Macaca fascicularis: one gene and its partner. The protein of the gene in region 1 purifies or fractionates together with the protein of each later gene. This does not show direct contact. Links are inferred from orthologs where the notes say so. Each region holds a gene or a part of one and is shown on either strand. Other genes may lie near its edges. The genes, in order: RANBP6 and ARMCX3.

Evidence for each region.
Region 2: the proteins of RANBP6 (region 1) and ARMCX3 purify together in Homo sapiens (co-immunoprecipitation; 3 studies listed by BioGRID and IntAct, counting the BioPlex papers as one, with this or other methods). This does not show direct contact. The link is inferred for Macaca fascicularis from reciprocal best matches to the Homo sapiens genes RANBP6 and ARMCX3.

What each region holds. Positions count from the first base shown.
Region 1 is NC_088389.1:93,025,184-93,029,100, forward strand, and holds the start of RANBP6 (ran-binding protein 6), read left to right. Parts: upstream 1-897; 5' UTR 898-905; coding exon 906-3,917. UniProt on the Homo sapiens protein: May function in nuclear protein import as nuclear transport receptor.
Region 2 is NC_088395.1:108,279,385-108,283,221, reverse strand, and holds the start of ARMCX3 (armadillo repeat-containing X-linked protein 3), read right to left. Parts: upstream 2,946-3,837; 5' UTR 2,664-2,945; intron 2,392-2,663; 5' UTR 2,201-2,391; intron 1,937-2,200; 5' UTR 1,876-1,936; intron 1,615-1,875; 5' UTR 1,547-1,614; intron 1,264-1,546; 5' UTR 1,118-1,263; coding exon 1-1,117. UniProt on the Homo sapiens protein: Regulates mitochondrial aggregation and transport in axons in living neurons. May link mitochondria to the TRAK2-kinesin motor complex via its interaction with Miro and TRAK2.

The DNA of each region.
Region 1 (3,917 bases):
CACCAATTTAAATTGTACAACTCAATGGTTTTTAGTATAATCACAGAATTGTGCAACCATCACAATTAATTTTAGAACATTTCTTCACTCAGAAACAGCCTATTTGATAGTAGTCATTCTCCATCCTCCTCCCCGCAGCCTCTGGCAACCACTAATTTCTGTTATACAGATTTGCCTGTTTGGTACCTTTCATATGAATAGAATCATAAAATATGTGGTCATGACTGGCTTCTTTTACTTGGCATGTTTTCAAGATAGATTTATTGTTTTAAAATTATCAAAGTAACAATAAGTTTAGAAATAAAAAAGAAAAAAATCACTCATAATCTGACCGGAAGCAGTGGCTCACACCTGTGTTCCCAGTACTTTAGGAGGCCGAGGCGGGCGAATCACCTGAGCCCAGAAGTTCGAGACCAGCCTGGGCAACATGGCAAAACCCTGTCTCTGTAAAAAACACAACAATTAGCCGGGCGTGGTGGCTCGCGTCTGTGGTCCCAGCTACTGGGGGAACTGAAGCGGGGAGGATCCCTTGAGCCCAGGAGGTTGAGGCTATAGTGAGCAGGGATCGCGCCGCTGCACTCCAGCCTAGGTGACAGAGCGAGACCTTGTATCAAAAAAAAAAAAAAAAAATCAGTCATAATCCCATTCTAATCAATGCTTTTCTTCTCTCCTCTGCAAGTGCACGTTTATCTTATTGAAAAACAAATGGAGGATGCCATTGGCCTCCACACAGCTCTCACCTCTCTCCAAAACCTAGCTCGCCGCCTGCCAGAGCGCAGCGAAAGCTTCTGGGCAGAGGAGGGAGAAGCACCCCGCCCATCCCCGCCGGCGCCTCGCCTACGTCACTGCTTCGAGCCGCAGACCCCCTCCCTCCTTCCCGGTCGCGGTAGCTTTGACAGAGCGCAATGGCGGCGACCGCGTCTGCAGGGGTGCCGGCGACTGTGTCAGAAAAGCAAGAGTTTTACCAGCTTCTGAAGAACCTGATCAATCCAAGCTGTATGGTGCGGAGGCAAGCAGAGGAAATCTATGAAAATATCCCAGGTCTGTGTAAGACTACCTTCCTCTTAGATGCCGTCAGAAATAGAAGAGCAGGTTATGAGGTGAGACAAATGGCTGCCGCACTGCTACGACGGCTTTTGTCCTCTGGGTTTGAGGAGGTTTATCCAAATCTGCCTGCTGATGTTCAGAGGGATGTCAAGATTGAACTGATTCTTGCTGTTAAGTTAGAAACACATGCTAGCATGAGGAAAAAACTTTGTGATATTTTTGCAGTGCTGGCCAGGAATTTGATAGATGAGGATGGTACTAACCACTGGCCGGAAGGTCTGAAGTTTCTTATTGATTCAATCTACTCTAAAAATGTGGTTCTCTGGGAAGTTGCACTTCACGTTTTCTGGCACTTTCCTGGGATTTTTGGGACCCAAGAGCGGCATGATTTGGATATCATCAAACGGTTGTTGGACCAATGTATTCAAGATCAAGAACATCCAGCAATCAGGACATTATCCGCTAGAGCTGCAGCTGCATTTGTACTTGCTAATGAGAATAATATTGCTCTTTTCAAAGACTTTGCAGACTTGCTTCCTGGAATCTTACAGGCTGTGAATGACTCATGCTACCAGGATGATGATTCAGTGCTAGAATCCCTTGTCGAGATTGCAGATACCGTACCTAAGTACTTGGGTCCTTATTTAGAAGATACTCTACAGTTGAGTTTGAAGTTATGTGGAGACTCTAGGCTTAGTAATCTGCAGCGCCAGCTGGCCCTCGAAGTTATAGTGACCTTGTCTGAAACTGCCACTCCGATGTTGAAAAAACATACAAATATTATTGCACAGGCAGTTCCTCATATATTAGCAATGATGGTTGATCTACAAGATGATGAGGACTGGGTAAATGCTGATGAAATGGAAGAAGATGATTTTGACAGCAATGCAGTTGCTGCGGAGAGTGCACTAGACAGACTGGCTTGTGGGCTTGGTGGAAAAGTTGTTTTACCAATGACCAAGGAGCATATCATGCAGATGCTTCAGAGCCCTGACTGGAAGTATCGACATGCTGGATTAATGGCCTTATCTGCCATTGGAGAAGGATGCCATCAACAAATGGAATCAATTCTAGATGAAACAGTTAACTCCGTTTTGCTTTTTCTTCAGGATCCTCATCCAAGGGTGAGGGCTGCAGCCTGTACTACACTTGGACAGATGGCTACAGATTTTGCACCTAATTTCCAAAAGAAATTTCATGAAACAGTGATTGCAGCTCTGTTACGTACCATGGAAAATCAAGGTAATCAGCGTGTGCAATCACATGCAGCTTCTGCTCTTATTATTTTTATTGAAGACTGCCCCAAATCATTGCTAGTTCTATATTTGGATAGTATGGTGAAAAATCTACATTCCATCTTGGTGATTAAACTTCAAGAGTTGATTCGGAATGGAACTAAATTGGCTTTGGAACAACTTGTGACAACCATTGCATCAGTTGCAGATACAATAGAAGAAATATTTGTCCCATATTATGATATATTCATGCCCTCACTAAAGCACATCGTTGAGCTTGCTGTTCAGAAGGAACTTAAGCTTCTGAGAGGAAAAACTATTGAGTGCATTAGCCATATTGGTCTTGCCGTTGGGAAGGAAAAATTTATGCAAGATGCATCAAATGTGATGCAGCTGTTGTTGAAGACACAATCAGACTTAAATAATATGGAAGATGATGACCCTCAGACCTCTTACATGGTTTCAGCATGGGCTAGAATGTGTAAAATTCTTGGAAAAGATTTTCAACAGTACCTTCCACTAGTTATCGAGCCTCTTATTAAGACTGCTTCAGCTAAACCTGATGTTGCTCTCTTAGACACACAGGATGTGGAGAATATGAGTGATGATGATGGCTGGCAATTTGTAAATCTTGGAGACCAGCAGAGTTTTGGAATTAAAACTTCAGGACTTGAAGCAAAAGCAACTGCTTGCCAAATGTTGGTTTACTATGCTAAGGAGTTAAGGGAAGGGTTTGTGGAATATACAGAACAAGTTGTGAAGCTGATGGTTCCTTTACTGAAATTTTATTTCCATGACAATGTTCGAGTGGCAGCAGCGGAGTCCATGCCTTTTCTCCTGGAATGTGCAAGAATTCGTGGCCCAGAGTATCTTGCACAGATGTGGCAATTCATATGTGACCCCTTAATCAAGGCTATTGGTACTGAACCGGATACAGATGTGCTCTCGGAAATAATGAATTCTTTTGCAAAGTCCATTGAAGTTATGGGAGATGGTTGCCTTAATGATGAACACTTGGAAGAACTGGGAGGAATACTGAAAGCAAAACTTGAAGGGCACTTTAAAAACCAAGAATTGAGACAGGTTAAAAGACAGGAAGAAAACTATGATCAACAGGTTGAGATGTCTCTGCAAGATGAGGATGAATGTGATGTTTATATTCTGACAAAAGTATCAGATATTTTGCACTCATTATTTAGTACTTATAAGGAAAAGATTTTACCATGGTTTGAACAACTACTTCCATTAATTGTAAATCTAATTTGTTCAAGTAGGCCATGGCCAGACAGACAGTGGGGATTGTGCATATTTGATGACATCATAGAGCACTGCAGTCCAACTTCATTTAAATATGTAGAATATTTTCGGTGGCCAATGCTACTAAATATGCGAGATAACAACCCTGAAGTCAGGCAAGCTGCTGCTTATGGCCTGGGTGTCATGGCACAGTTTGGTGGAGATGATTATCGTTCTTTATGTTCAGAAGCTGTTCCACTGCTGGTAAAAGTTATTAAGTGTGCAAATTCCAAAACCAAAAAAAATGTCATTGCTACAGAGAACTGTATCTCAGCAATAGGGAAGATTTTGAAGTTTAAGCCTAACTGTGTAAATGTAGATGAAGTTCTTCCACACTGG
Region 2 (3,837 bases), on another chromosome or scaffold:
TATGTTCAGCCAGTTTGGCCATGAATTTTCCAACTTTTACTTTCACCAAAAAATCATGGTGGCTTTCTATTCCCAGAACCTTATCAGCACACACTTGAAATTCTTTTAAAAAGAAAAAAAGTGAACCTTCACCGAATTGATTCTGAGTAGGTTCATTTTCTTCCCATTTGAAATTATCATTTATATTCTCAAATATGACCAGAAGTTTAAGAATAACTTCTTTGTTCTCCTTCTTATTAAAGAGGGAGCCCAGTGAAGATGGTACTTGGGCCCTGAGCAGTTCCCTAGTCATGGCTGGATTTTCAGCCAAATTCAAAAGGAGTTTCAGAACCTGAAGTTTGGTTTCTTCATTTCCCGCTGAAAATAAACGAAAAAAGTCAGAAATGGAATTAGCAAGCATGTGCTGATACTCATTAGTAACAGTCATATTTGTAAGCAATCTCAGTCCAGCAAGCTGCACAGATGAGTTCAATCGAGAAGTGATTGTGTCATCACACACTTGATTCATGTATACCTTAAGCCTGCGCTGATTTTCAGCATTCACACTCAAGTTATTCAGGACAATTAAAGCCTTTTCCTTAACTATGGGATCCCGCGTATTGAGAATCTTTGCGACAATTGGGAGACCACCGAGATCACGAATAATATCTCTGTTAAATGCATAAGCAGCATTGTTACCCAGAGCAATTAAAGCTGCTTCAAGAATATAAGGCTTTTCAGACATCTCAACCAAGCAAAGAACCTTTTGCAGCTCTTGAGGGGACAAAATGGTATCATCTGAATTGGGGGAAGCCCGTTTCTGGACAGCCCGACGTGCCCGGGTAGCCCTGGCCCTTGCCCTGGCCCTGGCTCTGGTTCCAGCTTCAGTCCCAATCCGGGCCCAAGGTGGGTACCATACTATACTCTTGCTCTCATTGCTGTCATCATCATCATCAGACCAGTCATTATACCTGGCCCCAGAACAGTCCCCAGCATCATCCACATCCCCAGATCCACCCTCAGCCATTTTTTCCTTGTTCTGTTTTCTTCCCCTAGTCAGTTTATAAATGCAATAGCAGGCGCCAGCCCCAATCACCAGGCCTGCAGTCACCCAGCCTACTTTCCTGGCGTAGCCCATGCAATCGTCCCTGACAATAGCAGGGACCAAGGAATAGAGTAGTCACTCAGGCTGGGGGAGGAAGGCTGTGGGACTGGGCTCAAGCCTGTGGAGGGTGATCGTCTTCAGCCACTTCAAGGCCACAATAGCTGATTCCGGAGGTTGACCTAGGAGTGGAAGAATAAAATCGGGTTTGAGTTTCTCTTCTGCTTGTGTTGTCCCATGCAGGGAGTTGTGCAGAGGGACAAGATAATAATAATTGAATGCTAGGTAGGAAATGTAGATTGTTGACAAAATCTCTATGCCTCTCATTTCAGCCTTTCCCTCCCCACCCCAGGTCACCCCGCCCAAAGCCTAGATAATGCCAGTGGAATCCACAGATTCTGCTGGGGTCTCAGTCACCACAACCTCAGATGTCCCCAGGGACCTGACTAGAACCCTTGCACTAACCTCCTCAAGACAAGCAGTTCGCCCCTTCTGTTTCCTGGTGGTGTGCCACGCCCAACAACCTTTCCAATCTGCAGAGAGACCAGAGCCAGTGAGAACGGAGCACTTGATGGATTGACTGTTGATTTGTTGCTTTCCTGATTCACCATTCCGGCTATCAGGTTTGTTTTTAACCTCTTTATGCCATCCCAAACATGCACAGGTCTGCCCCCTCCCTAGCCTGAAATGGGAGGGAGGTAAGGAAAATAAAGCAGGATTGGAAGAGCCTGTCCAAAGTGCGAGCGATTTCTAACCCCTCCCCCATTCCAGGCAGCCCCCACGCCCACACCGACCTCTACTGATCGGAGGAAACTTCCTCCCTCGCTTCAAGCGGAGCCACCTGCTATAGCAGACCTGCAGGATGACAGATCGAAAACATGGGGAGTAAGTGCTGTTGAGAGAGGAGGATTATGAACAAACTATCCGATAGGTTTCCCTGCTGTCATTTCCCCCACTTCCCCCCCACCACACACACACAAAGCACGCCATTTCGCCACAGTCCGGGGAGTGCAACAAACACATTCGGACTCAAACCTGTACCTAGATTATTACCTTCTCTGCCTTCTCCCCACCCCCGCGGCCAACCCCGTCCCTCCTAGAGTCCCCAGATGGTCTTACCCTCAAATCGACCTTCACCGATTAGGATTAATTTCCTTCCTCTTCTTTTGCCTGGCGTTGTGCCGCAACCTACAGAAAGACTGGCCACCCGGGAGAGGCTTGGACCCACTAGACACAGAGCCATGGTCAGGAAGACACAGCCACAGGCAGAAAGACGGGAAACTGCCGCCACTGCGTGCTTGGTGGACGGACTAGTCCCCAGAACACAAAACTCTTTTCTAATTCGGAGGCCTGGTTGTCAGAGGTTTCCCACCCTTATTACCTCTCTTGGGGTTCTGCTGACATATCACGTTGCATCTCACCACCCCCGCCCCCATATCCAGCCATTCCCCTCCGGCACTGTCCTGGTGGACTAGGGGCCAACACCCAGGCCACAGCTCCCTTTCCGGATTGCGGGCCTAGGCTCCCAGCAGATTCCCATCTCCCGATCTCTGAGCTTTTCCCCAAACACTCCCCAGCTCACCGTTTCGCAGCATCGAAATGGGGTGCAGGCGGGACATATGTCTTGGAAAGCGGGCGGCGAGTGGGAGAGACGACGGAGGCGCCTCAGTACCCGCGACGGTCTCGGCCCTACACCCTCTAGCACCCTGACTTTATGGAATCTCCCAGGCACTGACCTGCAGGGATCCGGGACAATTTTCTTCTCCTCTTCCTTTTTCCCTCCGCCGCAGGCCCGCCCGCCCTCAGGGCAATGGGGAGCTGGTACTCAGACGGGAACAACGACCAGGACAAGAAGGACTTCTGCACACGTCAGCTCTTGGTCACGTGAGAGCTACGTCATCCACCAACTCGGGTCCCCAATTTCCCCTCCCACCAGCAGTGCGGCAGAAGAGGGCCCGCCCCCCTCCTTTCCCTCCCCCACACCAGGCCTTGTTACTCTTTCTTCTTCGATAATCTCATCACCTTGTAGTTGTGTTTCCCTTCCACCGATTACCAGAAAGGGACGACATCTTCCCCTGGGGCTACGGGCCACTTGTACTTTTTATGAAAAATTGCCTCTTCCTTCCCTAGGCTCCTGGGACAGCAGCCTCTCCCTCCACCTTCCCTCCCCCGAGCTATTAAAGTCTACCATTTCCTCTGAAATCTAGTCCCAGATCTGAAAGGAACAAGCGATCGGAAAAGAAAATCTGGAATGAGAGTGTGGCTTTTACTTTCTTAATACTTTGTTATTTTTGTTCCGTCCTCCCCCGCCCCCAGCCTGCATTCTTTTTACGAGAAAAAAAAAATACTATAAAGCTATTTCCATTTTAGAAAAAAATGAGTGGAAGCTGGAGAATGATGTTGGGTGATGGCCTCCAAAAGTCCCACATTTTCTCACTTGGTGGAGAGTGTTACACACTTCACTCAAAGCAATCTTAATGTCTTCTGGGGCCTAGCACACAGCACAGCCCTGAATGAGCTAATCAGTGTGTCTGGCAATATGTAAATCCTCTGACTAGACCAGTCTTCTAAATAGGAGAGCTACAGACTTTCACCTGCACCCATTAGCAAGGTGGAGGCATTGAAGCCACAAAAGCCAGAACGCAGGAAAAAAAAAAAAAAAAAAAAAAAAACCTGAGGAGAAAACGTAAGTGCACAGTAGGTATCTGTGAGATAAAGCATGCACACTGAAAAAATGAGTGTGCATAAAAAGAACA